Linked DNA regions of Notamacropus eugenii. The protein of the gene in region 1 binds, or shares a complex with, the protein of each later gene. Links are inferred from orthologs where the notes say so. Each region holds a gene or a part of one and is shown on either strand. Other genes may lie near its edges.

Evidence for each region. The genes of interacting proteins can lie anywhere in the genome.
Region 2: the proteins of NAA50 (region 1) and NAA15 are in contact, whole or in part, in a cryo-EM structure (PDB 6PPL), measured with the Homo sapiens proteins. The link is inferred for Notamacropus eugenii from reciprocal best matches to the Homo sapiens genes NAA50 and NAA15. Residues at the interface, in NP_079422.1 of Homo sapiens: Arg5, His14, Asn15, Lys17, Gln18, Arg21, Leu22, Val25, Phe51, Asn52, Ile54, Ala55, Leu80, Pro82, Tyr83, Leu86; in NP_476516.1 of Homo sapiens: Pro369, Pro370, Thr371, Leu374, Ser403, Thr404, Pro405, Thr406, Leu407, Ile408, Phe411, Glu433, Ala436, Leu437, Asp438, Thr439, Ala440.

What each region holds. Positions count from the first base shown.
Region 1 is NC_092876.1:353,945,589-353,949,333, forward strand, and holds the start of NAA50 (N-alpha-acetyltransferase 50), read left to right. Parts: upstream 1-1,220; 5' UTR 1,221-1,581; coding exon 1,582-1,589; intron 1,590-3,745. UniProt on the Homo sapiens protein: N-alpha-acetyltransferase that acetylates the N-terminus of proteins that retain their initiating methionine. Has a broad substrate specificity: able to acetylate the initiator methionine of most peptides, except for those with a proline in second position.
Region 2 is NC_092877.1:135,835,085-135,838,829, forward strand, and holds the start of NAA15 (N-alpha-acetyltransferase 15, NatA auxiliary subunit), read left to right. Parts: upstream 1-831; 5' UTR 832-1,344; coding exon 1,345-1,398; intron 1,399-3,745. UniProt on the Homo sapiens protein: Auxillary subunit of N-terminal acetyltransferase complexes which display alpha (N-terminal) acetyltransferase (NAT) activity. The NAT activity may be important for vascular, hematopoietic and neuronal growth and development.

The DNA.
Region 1 (3,745 bases):
GCCTCAGGGACCGAGCCGTCCCCCGCCACTCCCTCTCCCCCCGCCGCAGGGCTGCAGCCGGGTGGAGGAGCAGGCGGCAGAGCCAGTCCCGCTCTCCCGGGTCCCCAACGAAGGCGCATAACGGCCAGCCGCACTCGCCTCCGCCCGATACCGAGACCAGCCCGAGCAGGGCTGCGGCGGCCACGGAAGGAGGACCTTCTGCGAGGCTGAGACAGAAGCCCCTCGCCGGTGCGGAACGGAACTCCCTCCGGGGCCAACCCGGCCAAGGCCGCGCTCGACGCGTCTGCCCGCCCGCCAGTCCGCCCTCCCTCCGCCCGGGGCTCACCTGCTGCGGCGCGAGCTACCGAGAACTGGGCGAGCAGCGGGGGAGAGAGGAAGCCCTTCAGCTCTGTCACTGCGGACCTCGGCGATTCCAGGAGCAGCGGCAGAGGGGGCGGGGCCTCGCGAGTCAAATGACTCCCCCTAAGCCCCACCCCTTCTCTCAACCCCCCCTCCCCAAGGCGCATTGCATCTCGGGAACTGCTCTTTTAATTGGGATACTTTTAGAAACTCACTTTCTTGCTGTTTGGCTCCCCTGTTATTGCTTTTGCCAGTCCAGAAAGATACTTGTCTTAAGGAAGGGAAAACAGTCTCTCTCCATTTATAGGGTGTGAGAGCAATGGGAACGAGGTCAAAGGGTATTGCCAAGGAAATGACGTTTTTCTTCCAGGAACGGAAATGGGAATGGGGATTCCATCCCGCTGGTTCTGGTTTTAATAACCCCGGTCCTTCGGGGTGCGCAGGCCACGTGACTGAAAAAGCTCGGGTTGTGGGCAAAGTATCAGAATGTAATGTTTTTATTAACTTTTTTTAAAAGGTCCACATTATTTCGCGTTAATTATAATCTTATAATGAAAGAACAGAGGCAAATAGGTCATTCAGAGTGATATTAAAGTTCGAAGGTCACCTAAAAGGAGGCGGAATAATCCAAAAGCCCGGGAAAAGCAGGGGTGGGCTAGATTGATCCAGTCTCAGAGGGAGCAGAAAGAAGGAAAGGTAGAGGGAGGGGCAGAGAGATCCAGATTCTTCCGCTCCTAGGCCGGCGGGCTAGCCCAGTGAAAGGCGTCAGAGGGGTCAAGGGAAAGAGAGATAACCGCAGATGGTACAATCTAGGAGGTGGACGGTTTCCTAAGAGATCTCGGCTGGGGCGGAGAGAGGAAGGCGAGGCAGCGAGAGGGGGCGGGAGCAGCGAAGCTGCGTGCGCGCCGGCGCGCGCGGAGGGGGCGGGGTGAAAGGTCACGGCGGCGCGGCGGCGGGTCTTGGCTGGCTGGCGGGCAGGCGGGCTGGAGCGCTGCGAGCGGCCCCGTGTGCACATGTGGAGGAGCGGCGGCAGCCCCAGCCCCAGGGCAGCGGCCTGAGACGCCCTCGAAGGCCGCGGCTGTCCCTAGCGAATCGTGCCCGGCCTCCAGCCCGGAGGCGGTGGTGGCAACGGCTGAGGAGGCGGAGGCCGGTGTGTGGAGTAGGGTCGCTCCCGGGCTCGGGGCGCGGCGGCGGCGACGGCGGCGGGATCGGCGGTAAAGACGGCCACGGCAGACGGGGAAGATGAAAGGGTGAGGCAGGGGCGCCCGGGCAGTCCTCAGGGGAGGACGGCGGCGAGGAGAAGGAGGAGAGCGGCGAGTGCGAAACGTGCCTCGCTCTGCTTCTGGGCCGAGGGAAGCAGCTTCGATGGCGGGGAAGGAGGGAGGGCGGCCTGGTTCCGGAGGCCAGAACAGCCCCGGGCGCGGGGAGACTAGAGGCCGAGGCGGGAAGCGGGGCCTGTGCCTGGGCCGAGGCCGGGCCTCGGGGGCGCCCTGCGAGGAGGGCTCGCCGGCTGTTTTCTGGCGGAGGTAGCGAGCGAGCCGTGGTCGCTTTCTCCTGGTCTCGGTCGGGGCCCCGGCCGGCTGGTGTTGCCTCCCCGCGTGTGCCGCGACCCTGGGCAGGCGAGAGGCAGTTGTGGGCAATGGCCCACCCGGTAAAGAACTTGGGCAGGAAAGGGAGCTCGTGGTCTGACCGGAGATTCGGGTGTCAGAGGCGGGCGGGGGGAGGAGAGCCCAGAGGCCGGGGGAGGAGTGCCAAGTATTTGAGGAAGTGAGCGGGCGCTTCAGTAGGTGGAGCTCTTACCTTTCTCTGGCTGACTGACCACTTACCTAAGGCGGGCCGGGGCGGGGGGCCCCGGTTTTGTCTGGGCTCCCACCGAAGTTCGGTCCTTGTCCTGCCTCTGCGTGGGACGGCTCCAGTAGTTGCAGTTGGACAAAGTGTTTCTTTTCTGCTTTTGTCCTGATTAAAGTGTTACTGTGGTTATTTTAAAAAGAAAAACAAAAAGAACATAACTTGTATCTTAAGGCTCATTCTGAAAGAGGTTAAACTTTTTAAAAGATGTTGAAGTCCTTCCTTAGAAATAAAAATCACAAAATTTACTTTAGTAAAATAAAAATTTGTGCTCATTTTTCGTTTAAAGATTGTGGACTTATGGATTTTGGATAGTAAAGGCAAGCTGTTCAAAATCTATGGTTAGAACTAGGCACTAACTTTTTTTTTTTTTTTTTTTTTAGTAAGCTAACTAAGCTCGTTGGGCAAATTTGTAGTTAGGATGAGAAACTAACCTTTTAAACATTGTTGAAGTTGACCTGCTAGGGTTATCAAAAAGTTCTGTGATTTAATTTAGCTTCAGTTTTGCTACACTTCCTTCTTTTTAAAAATTTTAAGTCTGAAATTTGTTATGATGGTGATTTGTTGATTTCTAATCAACTTTGATAGCAAACTTAAAAAACGTTTTGTCCTTGGTCAGAAATTTTTCCTAGAGTGTTATACACCTTTTATCTCTGCCTCTGCTGTTGTCTTTATTATCAGCATAAGGTCAACTGAGATAAAATGTAAAGCATTTTTCAGATCTTAAAACTTACCTGTTATGATTAATTAGGCAACTACTATCCTTGATAGAGTTGACTTACCAGCACATTTATTGGTGCTAATTAAAATTTAACAAAAGGACATGACGGTGAGATGGGACTATTAATATCTTTTTTTCTAAAAGGTGTGTGGGTTTTAGTTGTTTTTTTTAAGAATCTGAAACCACTAATTAGCCTGAAATGTGGGAAAGGTAGTAAACATGTATATTCTTTGGCACTTGAGTTTCATTTAAGTAGTACATTGAGTGACATAGGAACTATGGGTCATCAGTCTTGTTTTGATTATCATCATAGATTTAGAGCTGGAACAGATCTTGAAGGCCTTCTAGTCCAGCTTACTCTTTTAGATGAATCAACACGCCTAGAGAAGGTTGTGACTTGCAGAACCAGGATTTGAACTCTTGACTTCAAATCCTTCAATCTTCATTTCATAGATTTTTATACCTAGAAAGGGACATTAAATAGGATTTCTTAACTTTTTTGTGTTATCAACCCCTTTGGCAGTTTTGTCCCCTTCAGAATGTTTGTACACATAATTGATAGAAAACCTGCATTTCAGTTAGAAGTTAGTAAAAACAAAGATATAATTTTTTTACCCATCAAAGTTCACAGACCCTCTGAAATTGATCCATTTACTTGTGGATCCCAGCTTAAGAACCCCTGACCTAGTCCAACTCTGGTTGGTTACTGGTTGATTCCTCCCAGCTGCTAGTGCCTCTTTTGTATATGTGTATGTATCCATTCTCTTTCCCATTCATATATAAACTTTAAGGTTTCGGTTTTGTCTTTGTATGTCCGAGAGCAGCATGTTACCTACC
Region 2 (3,745 bases), on another chromosome or scaffold:
CTTACAAAATGCAAACACAAATATTATCTATACTTTTGAAAAATAAGTTTTATTGATGTCTTTCGTTATTACATCATAGCAATTTCTCTTCCTCTCCTTTCTCCCACCCTGAATCTAACCTTGTAACAAAGAAACAGTTAAGAAAAAAGATACAGTGAGTAACTGACTAGGCAACATTCTGCCCACTTAGAGGCAGGTATGTTTCATTATCTTCACTGAGATTATTATCGTTTTTTCAGTCACTTAGACGTCTACTTCCTCTTAGAGATTTCTTCTTTTACACTTGTGGTCTCTGTCTCTTATTCTGCTGGCGCTTGTTGTTTCACATTTAGCTAGGTGCTCTAGACTCTAGCTAGAGGACAGGCTGATGGACTCATTTATCTACCTCAGTTTACTCAGCCCTTCACCTTCCTCCCCCTCTCCCCATTTTGACTTTCTTCTTGAAGTTCGGGCCACCTCTTAATCCACAAGTCTATGTCTAGATTTTTTTCCTAAGCGGTCTTACTGAGTCGGAGTTTTCGGATCTCATCTACAAATTCAATGCGCCCCAACGAGCAGGCTCAGTGGCAAACAAGCCGAAGCTCTGCGGGGCCGCGAGGACAGCCGGCATCCCCGGGGGCACTCCTCTTGGGCTGGCCGAGGGTTAAGTTCCCTCACCCGCCGGGACGTTCCAGGTTCCTAATGTAACCCACTCCGTTATCAGAAGACCAGCCCCGCGGTGACCTTTAGACTTTCGTTGTAGGAGGCACACCCCGTCCCTGCCCCCAGCCTGGGCCGCTCCGATGCCCAAGTCTGGGCCAGGCAGCGCGCTAGCACCCAGGCTCCCCGGGCAGGGAAGCGGCCAGGGCGGGGGGAGAGTTCCGTACTTCGCTCGCCCCGCCCCGCTGGCCTCCGGAGCCGCGGCAGCTCAGCCGCCAGCACTGGGCGGGACTGGAAGCGAGGACCAGGAAGGATAGGAAGGGGAGGAGACGAAAGGGGAAAGGAGGTCACGGCGCCTGCGCGCTATCAGGTGTGACCCGGGTGGGAAAGCCCTCCGCGTCCGCCATTTTGGCTACCTCTGTCGGTCTGTTCAGTTACCACGTGAACCGCCGACGGGGACCCGCCGGGGGGAGGCGGCGGCGGCGGTGGCGGCAGGAACAGGGAAAGGAAGAGAAAAGCGGCGGAGAAGAGGGGGCCAGGCCGGCGGGAGGGCGGGCGCCACAGCGCGGCGGCGGCGGCGGGCTCTCGGGGCTGAGGAGGCAGCCCGGGGACGGCGGCGGACACACACACACACCCCCACAGCGCCCCAGACAGACCCGACCGAACCGGGCGGCGGCGGCGGGAGCCGCGGGAGGAGCCGGGACGATGCCGGCCGTGAGCCTCCCGCCCAAGGAGAACGCGCTCTTCAAGCGGATCCTGGTGAGTGCAGCCCCCGCGCCCGGGCTCCGCCGCAATTCCCGCTCGGCCGCCCGGCGGCCGCCGCGCCCCAGCCCGCGCGCGCCCCTCGCGTCCGTGCCTCGCGCCCCGGCCGCCCTGCGGCCCTACCCGCGCCCCGCCTAGGCCCGGACCGGGGGTGCGGGGCCCCCGCGGCGGGGGCCTCATTCATTGAGAGCAAGCTGCGTCTTCCCCCGCGGCGACCCCGTTGGTCCGGGGCCCCTGCGCCCGCCCGGGGCCCGGGTTCCCCGCGCCGCCCCGCCGGAGCGCGCCGCAGGAGGCCCCCTCGGCCCGCCGCGCCCCGGTCTGCGCCCGCTGCCTTGGCCGGGGGCCGGCGCGTCTGCGACCCGGCTCTGCCATCCCCTTTCCCGGGAGGTGGAGACCAGGTGGGGCCTGGCGGGAGGGGGCGGTCCGGGAGGAAAGAAAAAAAGTTTGGAGCTATTGGTTGTGAGATTGACTTTTTCTTGTGAATGAGACGCGAGTGCCTGGCCAGACACCCAGCCCCAAGTCTGTAGCTGCAGAGCGGAGGATAAGCCTCTAATAATGAGGCTATTTGCTCAAACTTTTGAGGGGTTTTTCGTTGCTGTTGTGAAGGTTTGCGTTCCTAAATCAGAGCTCATGATGGCGTTTGTAGAGAAGTGTGATGTGTAGCCACAGTGAGTGACTACATTGTAGCACGTTTTCACCTGGCTGGTGGTGTGCGTGGAGTAGGGAGCGTACCCCCTCCATGCCCAGGCACTGGATCCGTAGGATTTCACAGCAACGACTTGTAAGTTGTTAACTTAACCTAAGAATCTGTCTTATGTTTTAAACTTTGAAAAGTTTAAAGTGGAAATCGTCTTCAAAAAAATCAAAACTGATAAACCAAGTCACCAATTTGGTATGATGAAGTCACGTACAAGAGATCGAGGTAGTTTGTGTAAAAAGGTGGGAAAACTACTCTCACCATCTCATAGTTATTTTTTTTTAGTCTTTGGTACCATTGAAGTAAATCAGAATTGTTGGTAGTTTTCATCCTCTTAAAAGTGTAATTGGATCTTAAATATCAAATGCAGTCGGAGTTGCAGAGTGGCAACTTGGATTGACACTGAGATGATTCGCACATGTGAAGTACTGTGATTTTTAGAAACAAGTTAAATGCTCCTAAGAAAGTACCTTAGAATCCAGATCCTACATTGACATTGTGATATAGTGTTTATGAGGTTAGGAATAGGGATTAGACTTGTGTTTGCCTTGATACAGAGGAACTCTCATGTAGGGAAACTCATCAGTTCAGGTCAGTGACTTACATAGTCTTAGTTGCCTAAAGCACTGAGAGGTTAAGTGACTTCCAGTTAGTGTCAGGGAATGACTTTGACTCCAGGTCTTCCTGGCCGTATTTATAAATTATGTCCAAGAAAAGTATAAATAGGTAAGCAGAAAGCCATGAGATGTATTAAGCGCTAAACAGCAGAAAGCTGTAAAATTATTCTACCTTGAGAGTTGAAAAAAAAGTGACTAGTGGGATTTTGCATTCTAGTGGTCTGGAGTTTCAAAGTTGATCCATGTTTGTCAGTTCATAGGTGTTTTAGGAAGTTGAGCAACATTAGTAGATCAGACTTTTCCAGTCTAGGGAAGAACTGGGTATTCCTAATGACTTGTAGTAAAACATTCTTGTCAAATAGTTATTTGTTCATAATTAGACTTAAATAGGGAAATAGTTGACATTTTTGATATCAAATTGAAGTTTCATGATAAAATGTGTGTATGCCTTTTTTTTTTTTTTAAAGAGGAAATCAGTTTCTACATCATTGGAGACTTCCAGAATTAGAGTTTCTGAAGTGAATTTTGTTAGGGCTGGTCCTGGGCCATTTTAGTAATAGTAAGTGTGCTTTTTGTTGGAGATGTTAACTCTTCCTTTTGTTCTAACTCTGATCTGAAGAGTAGAATCATAAATTGAATGACATGTCTGTATAGCATGTCTTTCCTTTCTGTCACCCTGATATAATTTGTCCAATGAAAAAACTGACTTTATTTACATTTTGACATGAAATTTTAAGCAAATTTTTCTTTGGTTGCAAGGGGATTTTACAGTTTTATTTTTGTAAATAATTGGATATTGTTTATTTTGGGTGCATCTTGTTCTGAGTTATTAAAGGGCATTTGAGTTTGAAATATTTTGAATTAGTACTTCTCTTGACAAATATGATTATCATACTTTTTTGTATTGTACATTGTTATCATAATTACAGGTATTTTCTTTAGTCAAATTTGGTAACTTTGGTGTAGAGGCAAGAAAAATGGATTTGGAGGACTTGGTTTTGAATCGAAGCTCTACCTGTCATCTTGAGCA